Linked DNA regions of Oryctolagus cuniculus. The protein of the gene in region 2 interacts with the protein of the main gene of each other region in a biochemical or structural test. Links are inferred from orthologs where the notes say so. Each region holds a gene or a part of one and is shown on either strand. Other genes may lie near its edges. The genes, in order: RNF125 and RIGI.

Evidence for each region.
Region 1: of the proteins of RIGI (region 2) and RNF125, one has a biochemical effect on the other in vitro, tested with the Homo sapiens proteins (3 studies listed by BioGRID and IntAct, with this or other methods). The link is inferred for Oryctolagus cuniculus from reciprocal best matches to the Homo sapiens genes RIGI and RNF125.

What each region holds. Positions count from the first base shown.
Region 1 is NC_091441.1:45,620,603-45,625,108, forward strand, and holds the start of RNF125 (E3 ubiquitin-protein ligase RNF125), read right to left. Parts: upstream 2,807-4,506; 5' UTR 2,338-2,806; coding exon 2,174-2,337; intron 1-2,173. UniProt on the Homo sapiens protein: E3 ubiquitin-protein ligase that mediates ubiquitination and subsequent proteasomal degradation of target proteins, such as RIGI, MAVS/IPS1, IFIH1/MDA5, JAK1 and p53/TP53.
Region 2 is NC_091432.1:195,900,786-195,905,284, forward strand, and holds the start of RIGI (antiviral innate immune response receptor RIG-I), read right to left. Parts: upstream 2,995-4,499; 5' UTR 2,758-2,994; coding exon 2,652-2,757; intron 1-2,651.

The DNA.
Region 1 (4,506 bases), on a different chromosome or scaffold from region 2:
TTTGTTGCATCACAAGATGATTTACAAAGTGCTATAGGTGTATTAATTCAAGGTATTGTTCTTATTATTGTGTTTCACTTGAAATAGGTGTATAAACAGAAATCAGCATAAACAACTAGTTCAACAAGTTTAGAAATCTAGTTTCATTATGGAGTAATAAAATAGAAGGGTTTCAGTTGCATTTCTTCATTTTCCAGCTTCAGTTCAATGGAAAGGAGTAATTCATTTAGAATATACAAATGGTGTCAACACTCCCAACCCCCAGTGCAAAATGGACTCTGGTTAACATTTATAAAGTGGAAGGGGCCCAAGTACGTTGCCAAAAGGAGGCATATGGAAATTCTGCCCACAGCAGAACAATGGACATAGATTTGTCAAAACAAAGAACAGTAAAGTGAGGGAAGGCAGTTTGTCCAGCCCTTGTTAGGCTATTTTACAACTATTTTCCAGTTGCTTGTTTCCTATTCATTGTAACAAAGAAAAAGATTAAACCGAAAAGTTAACATTTTGCAAAGGCATATTATCCTTTAGTAGAAGCAAAAACATTCTAAACCGAAAGTTAAGTATTCAAATGCAAGCCCCGAAAAACAATTTTCAATCTGTTCATTACAGCACCAAAGCTGCCCATTCCAATTCTACAACAGGACTCTTCAAGACTCAATGCCCACTATTCAACTTTGGCAAAACTTTAAAGTTTTCAGGCTAATAAAGATCAAATTTAAGTGTACCCATCCTGAGGTTATTACTGCCCTGAACTAATCAATGTATTTTATCCCATTACACAACAGCATTTTGGCTTCCATCTTGACTTTGGGTCATTGAGTGACATCTGACAAGCTAGGAAACATCAGTCATTAGAATGGAGGCAAATTTAAGCCTTGCGTGTAAGGGCAAATTTGAAACAGCAGGCCCTGTAAATACAGCCACAGAATAGTGTCCAGAGCACTCTTCACTTAAACATGTGTGGGCTGCGCATTTTTCTCCCTTGCTCACTGATGGGCATTGGAGAAAACTGCGCCTCACCAGTACTAAGCTGAGGGTGTCAAGGCCCCTGTAGGCCGGCTTAGAAACGTTTTGTGCACTTTCGTTTATAATATGGTACTTCTTTTATCCTGCTAAGCCAAAAGCCTACAGACGCCACTGTGGCATCGCCCTGGGGCTCCACCATAGTACAGTTGGTCCACCGTCCAGAGAAGGCATTAAACGTGCATCCTGCTCCTGATTCACGCACACACACATGTCCAGCCACACACTGCGTCGACGTAGCCACAAAAATAAAGTTAACAGAGAACACAAACTCATGTTGCCAGTTCTCGCCTCCAGTTACTCCAGCTCACATTAAGGAGGTGCCCATTTTATAGACTTTTAAAGCTTTCCTAGAAACCACCATGGCTTTGCACTGCCAGTGAGTTTTAAATAGCGCCTGATTTTTAAGCAACCCTTAACCAACATTTTCTATCGCTTTAGGTAGTCAGAGACCTCCTGTCGCTGTTGTGCCTTAAACTGCTTCATTCACGGGCTTGCGACTGTAACGTTCAAGCCCCGAGGCCCACCCCAGCAGGTTGTTAAACGCTAATGACCACAGAAAGTCCCTGGGACGCTCCAGTTGCACGTGAGGACCTTTGTGAGGCCCGGGTGTCTGTGCTGGGAAAAGGATGCGGGGGTGGGGGTGGAAGCACAGTTTGCACAGATCCTTGTTTGCTCCAGAAAGGAGCCCCTGCAGGCGTCTAGAGCACGTGCGCAGCTCCAGCAAAACAAAACCGGCCCGGGGTTCTGGGGGAGACGGCAGCACAGCCCCGCCTGACCGAGTTCAGCAGGATGCGTGTGCTTGGCCCGAGCCCACCTTCTCGTCGCCCGGCTCTCGCCTCCTTTCGGTGCCCGAGCGGGTGCCGTTTCTCCAACCAAGGCCCTGACTGTCGGCGAGTCCCACGCCTGGATGCCCATCCTTGGAGTTCCGCACCTGTGCTTCGGGAGCGAGGCAGCTCTAGCAGGCTGCAGGGTTCCTACTGGGCGTGTTCCCCGAGACCCGCAACGGATGGGTCCAGGTTTCTCCATGAAGCAGTTTCCTAAAGCGCTGGTTTCTTTTACAAGCCCCCCACCCCCAAGCCCTCGGCTCCCCAACAGCTCCCTCCCCAAGTACTGGGCGCGCACACCCAGCTTCCCTGGCACTCACACGTGGCCACAGCGAGTCCGGACAGGCTGGTGCAACACCTCAAGGCACACCGAGCAGTCGAAGGACGTGACGGGCAACTCCGGGTCCCCCTTGCGTTCCAAGGCCCGAGGGGTGGCAGAGGAGGGCGCAGACTTGCCGCTGTCACTGCTCAGCACGGAGCCCATCGCTGCGCCTCTCGCCCAGGCAGCCGCCGAGAGCTCAGTGCCTGCAGGCGGTTGTTTGTTGTCCTGCGGTGGAGGAAGGAAGTCCCAGCCCAGCTGTGATCGCCGCCTCCCAGCGCGCTCAGCTAGCGCAGCCCAGCAACAGCCTTCGCTGCTTCGCCTAACCTCGGTCTGGGGCAGGCTGAGTGCGCGGCCGCCGTTCTGCAATGCTCGCTCGGGAGTTGCCTGGGTTGGCGCGCGGAGGCGGAGGCAGCAGCGGCGCGGTACACGCTGCAAGGTCTCGCGGGCCTGAGAGAATTGAAACCTGAAACCTCAACTGCAGAACAGAGGACCTGGGCAGGCAGTGAACCTTCCAGGCGATCACACACAGCCTCCTTCTGCACTACGCCTAGTTCAGGGAAGTACTGGCCTGGTCTTGCTCCGCCTGGTTGCCAGTCATGTCAGTCCTCCGCGTTGTAACTGTAGTAAGCTATAAAAATGACCTGTGTCCAGCTGAGAGTCTCCTGAGACACTGCTAATTGCTGCTTAGGTCGTCTAATCAGTGTATCTTCCATTAATGCAGAAGCAGTGGAAAGGGTTCTGCAGGCCCGGATTTAAATCTTGACCCTGTTGAGTGCTCCCTGCATGCCAGAATCTGGTGATGAGGGCATGGTTTTCCATAAACCCACAAAATCCCAGTTCCACAGAATTTAGTACCAAAAAAATCTTTTGAGATAATTACAAGTTCGAATGCAGTTGCAAGGAATAATGCATAATGATATATAATAAACACACGTGGTGTATATGCTTAAAATGCAAAATAATATGTGTAACACATGGTAATGCCATAAGCTTCATGCACGTTCCCCCAGACTACTTTAAATGAGACAATATGGGTAATCAACAAATAAATAAATGAACAAGATCACTTCAGGTGGTAAGAGCCCTGAAGATAAAACAGGGAGGACTAGGAAAGGCAAAAAGGCCTGAGAAGACTTTTTGGCGGAAGCGATATTTGAGCAGAGTAGTGAATCATGAAAAGCAGTCGCCCTTCAACAATTTAGGAAGAAGTTTGGTGAGCAGTAAGAGCAACAAGTGAAGCAGGAACTGAGAACACAAAGAGGTGTGGAGCTGGAGCTCGCCCGCAGGAGAAACAGAGAGGCAACCATTCCTCTCTTTAAAACAGAGAGAAAAACCTCTCCATCCATCCTTCTTGTTCTTCAGCTCCTGCCCTACATCCTCCTCAAAGTCAAATCTCTCCATCAGATTCTCCCTTATGGCTGGCTCCATTCAAAAATTATTCATGCCTTATCCAGTTCATTCTGGGTTCTGAACCGACCACTCCACCTCCATCTTTCCTCAAAGGATGCCATCATCATTGTCGCTGGTGACTTCCATGTGGCTAATTCCAACACATTCTTTTCAGTCCTTTTCTTACTGTCCTTTCAACTCTGTCAGCCTTCGCCACTCTCTCCTCCTGGACACGCTCTGGCTTGCCATCTCTCTTTCTCGTGGTTCATTCTTAGCCTCCTCTCCCTGGCTATGTCGTGAGATTCTGTCTTAGGAGATTTTCTTCTCACATCTCTTTACACAGCACACCACTTCCATTAACAGAATGCAAAGGATCAGATATCTTTCTTGTAGCTATTTTTTTTTTTTTTTTTTGACAGGCAGAGTGGACAGTGAGAGAGAGAGACAGAGAGAAAGGTCTTCCTTTGCCGTTGGTTCACCCTCCAATGGCTGCCGCGGCTGGCGCACTGCGGCCGGCGCACCGCGCTGATCCGAAGGCAGGAGCCAGGTGCTTCTCCTGGTCTCCCATGGGGTGCAGGGCCCAAGCACTTGGGCCATCCTCCACTGCCTTCCCGGGCCACAGCAGAGAGCTGGCCTGGAAGAGGGGCAACCGGGACAGAATCCGGTGCCCCAACCGGGATTAGAACCCAGTGTGCTGGCGCCGGAAGGCAGAGGATTAGCCTAGTGAGCCACGGTGCTGGCCAACTCTCTCTTCTTTTATGAGGAAGATAGACTTCCCTTTATATCTCATTGGTTGAAATTAAGCCACATGACCATCCCTAAATTCATCACTAGGAAAAGAGAATGAGAGTGTTCCGTTTGCCCTAAAATTTTTTTAAAAGATTTATTTATTTATTTAGAAGGCAGAGTTACAGAGAGGCAGAGGCAGAAAGATCTTCCATC
Region 2 (4,499 bases):
GTGGCTGGTGCTGTGAAAAAGCACTTGTGACACTGGCATCTCATATCAGAGCACTGGTAGGAGTCCTGATCGCTCTGCCTCGGATCCAGCTCTCTGCTAACACACCAAGCAAAGCAGTGGAAGAAGGCCCGAGTACTTGGGCCCCCTGGCAACAACATTAGAGACTGGGACAGAGTTTTGGGCTCCTGGCTTCAACTGGGTCAGCCCCAGTAGAGGCAGCCATTTGGGGATTCAACCAGCAGATGGAAGATCTAGGATATGCTACTTGCTCTCTGTCACTTTGCCTTTCACATAAATAATTTTTTTTTTTTTTAAAGGTTTCTGGGGCCAGCACTGTGGCACAGCAGGCTAAAGCCCTGGCCTGAAGCACCAGCATCCCATACGGCACTGGTTCTAGTCCACCTACTCCTCTTTGATCCAGCTCTCTGCTATGGCCTGGGATAGCAGTAGACGGCCCAAGTCCTTGGGCCCCTGCACTCGCATGGGAGGCCCAGAGGAAGCTCCTGGCTTTGGATTGGCGCAGCTCTGGTCATTGCTGCCATCTGGGGAGTGAATCAGTAGATGGAAGGCCTCTCTGTCTCTACCTCTCTCTGTAACTGTCTTTCAAATAAATAGAATAAATCTTTAAAAAAATAAAAATAAAAAAGGTTTCTTTACTTCTAATAGTGTTTGTGGTATTTAAGATTTATTTGAGGAGTCGGCACGGTGGCACACTAGGTTAATCCTCCGCCTGTGGCGCAGGCATCCCATATGGGTGCTGAGTTCTAGTCCCGGTTGCTCATCTTCCAGTCCAGCTCTCTGCTGTGGCCCAGGAAGGCAGTGGAGGATGGCCCAAGTGCTTGGGCCCCTGCACCCACATGGGAGACCAGGAGGAAGCACCTGGCTCCTGGCTTCAGGTCGACGTAGCTCTGGCCATGGCAGCCATTTGGGGAATGAACCAACAGAAGGAAGACCTTTCTCTCTGTCTCTCTCTCTCACTGTAACTCTGTCAAATAAATAAAAATCTTTTACAAAAAAAAAAAAAAAAATTGAAAGTCAGTTACTTAGAAAAGGAGAGGCAGAGAGTCAGTCTGTCTTCCATCCGCTGGTTCACTCCCCACTTGACCACAATGGCCAGAGCTGTGCCAATCCAAAGCCAGGAGCTTCTTCCAGGTCTCCCACACTCGTGCAGGGACTTAAGTACTTGGGCCATCTTCTGCTGCTTTCCCAGGCCATAGCAAAGAGCTAGATTGGAAGTGCAGCAGCCAGGACACGAACCGGTGCTCATATGGGATGTCGGCACTGCAGGTGGCAGCTTTACCTGATCCACCACAGCACCAGCCCCAGAGCTTTTGTTCTCATAGTTACCAACCATTATCTGCCATTATGATTCTGCCTTGGTTTTTCCTGATGCCTTTTTGTCCACGTATCTGGCTGCTCTTTTCCAGTTTCTTTTCTAGCTCTTTCTCCCTCTGTTCATCTCGTAAATGACAGGCTCTCAACAACCCGTCCCAGGGTCTTTCTACTAAACTTCCAATGTGCCATCTTGCCTCTCTCACTGTTCCAGCAAGGATCTATGAAGGACTCCCCAGATTTGGACTTCTGATTCTGTGTGCCTTAGATACATCCAGGAAGCCATGTTCAGCAGATCACTGAATGGGGAGGTCTGGAACTCAGGACAAAGATCCAGGCTTGGGGGGCCCTGCAGGTAGAGATTGTGCTGCAACAGGGGAGAGTGGGTGAGACTGCACACTAGAAGGGTTTCATCCAGGGATTTCTAAAGAGGCGTGGCCTCACATTGTGTAGGAGCCCACACCTCTCTCAGGGCAGAACCAGAAAGTGAAAGTGCACTTTCCTTAGTGGCATTCTTTTGCTGCTCACTCCACAAGGTGAGTTTGGTTTAACAGAGCAATAAACACCCAAGGTACCTGCCTGGGAGTTTCACTGCAGTTACCAAAAGCTGATTAGCATTTCAGGAGTGGCATTAAGGCACCTGGAATTGCTAGGTCCTGTCTTCCACCTGGAGTCCTTGCAAACACCACCTACCTCTGTCTCCCCAAGTGTGAATACCTCTGCCAATGTCCAGCACAAAGCAATTCGCTACTCACTACCCGAAACACCTGTCCTAAAGCCTGAACATAAAGCCTGAACATTCAGTCTGGGGAAAGTCAAGCTCCTCTCAACCTTTCCATCGTTTGCAAGCACAAATGAGACCTCGCAGAGGAGGCACCACCTTGCCTGGATTTTGGACAGCGTTGTGTACCACAGTATTGTATCCTCACCCTTCACTCCCCACCTGGCAAACCCCTGGACTGGAGAGCATACTAAGGAAGGGGCTGTATCTTATTTCTCAATCTCCAATTCCAGGACAAAGGCAGGCACCTAGCCAACTCAAAGGTTAGAGGAAATAAATGAAAAGGACAGTTTCTTTCCCCAGCTTTGAACCTTAAAAAAAAAAAAAAAAAAAGTGCACCCTAAGCGAGTCACTTCACCACGCTGGTTCTCAATGTCCCTACCTGGGTTTCCTAGTGCACCTCAAACCCTGAACCAATAGTGTTTCTGAAGGTTGGTTACCTCCACCGATTTAAAAAGGAAAACAGCAAGGGGAAAACAAGTCCTCAGTTTTTCCTTGCCCCCAAGGGGCGGGCAGGCGCCGCTGGGCATCCACTCACCCTCCCCAAGCCAGGAGTTCATGTAGCTCAGGATGTGGGTAGGGTCCAGAATCCTCTTGACATAGTCGCTGAAGGCTTGCAGGTTCCTCCGCTCCTCGGCGGTCATGCTGGCCTCGTTGCCCGGTGAGATCCACCCCACCCGGCTGCTGCCCGACTCCCTTTAAAGCTGGGCTGGAGGAGGCGGGCACGCCAAGCGGGGAGGGGAGGGATTTTCCAAGAAATCAACCGCGGCTGAGAGGCGGAGCTGCCTGGGAACTTACAACTGGAGGAAAAATCGAAACTGCAACTCGCTGCAGCCGCAGGAGGGCGGGGCCGGCCCTGGCCGAGCGCTTCCCCCAGTTCTGCAAGTTTCTCTTTCCTGTTCACCCGAGGTGGGGGGTGGGGAACCGAGGAGGACAACCCTCCCCCACCTCCAAGCCCCGGGAAGCTTTTACAGCGGTAAAGTATAAAGAGAGCAAAATGCGCACAATTGAAGGGTGCGATTCGCTAAGTTCTGAAAAATGCATACAGGTTTAACCACCTTCCCCAGATCAGTTGGGCCCCACGGTGAGGGTATCATTCACCTTTTTGGAAGCTGTCACCTGTTGTCCAAAATGGCCACGCCAGTTTCCATTCGCACCCTTAGCAGATGCGGGCTCCAGTGCATGGATAGCCAGCAGATGCACACATAGGTCAGTCTTTTTTTTTTTTTCTTTTTAATTTATTCATTTGGCTTCCATCTTGGTCTGTATGAAATGATACATTATTGTGGCCTTAATTTTGATTTCTCATATAATTAATGATGTTGGACACATCTGTATGTGCTTTCTGACCTTTCATATAACCCTGCATTTGAAACTTCTGCCTAATTTTGGAATGTTTTAAAATAGACTTACACAGCGCCCTGCATTGTGACATAGGAGGGTAAGAGCCCCTGCCTGTGACCCTGGCGTCCCAGACACCCATTCCAGTCCTGGCTGCTCCACTTCGGACCCAGCTCTCCGCTAATGTGCTAGAAAGCAGTGAAGGATGGCCCAAGTGCTTGGGCCCCTGCACCTACGTGGGAGACCAGGAGGAAGCTTCTGGCTCCTGGCTTTGGTCTAACCCTGCCCTGATGGTTGCAGCAATTTGGGGAGTGAACCAATGGGTAGAAGATACCCCCCCTCAGTAACGCTGACTTTCAAATAAATAAATATTTAAGATACATAGCCTTACAAGAGTGATTATTCTATATACAAAATTGTCAAATATAGGTATTCAAAATATTTTCCCAGTCTGTCATCTAGCCTTTTGTTTACACACACACACACACACACACACACACAATTTTATTTGAGAGGCAGAGAGATAAAGAAAACTTCTATCCCCTGGTCCATTCCCCAAATGCCTGAGCGCTGATTCCAGCTCTCCTATGTGGGTAGTAGGGACCTAACTACTTGAGCCTACTTCCAGGGTTCATTTTAGCCAGGGCTCTAACTCAGGCCCTCGGATATGGGATAGAGGCATCCAAAGCAGCATCTTAATCATCACCCCAAACACACCTACCCCTTTCCACTTTATTTATGGTGTCTTTTGATGAGTGCTTTTTACCAGTTTTCTCCTCTATTCATTTCTTTTTGTGTTCCCTTTAATAAATCTATGCCCACCCCAAGGTCATTAACATACTGTTTTCTTTTACTTTTTCTCTTTTACTTTTAAGTCTGTGATATCTCAATTAATCTTGTTGTGATGTGTCATAAGGGACCAGGTTCATTTTTTTCCATACTTCTCGTTTTAGCAACATCATTTGTTCAAAATGTTTCCTTCTTCCACTAAATAGCCTTGGGACCTCTATAAAAAAAACTTAATTGACTCTATGTGTGTAAGTCT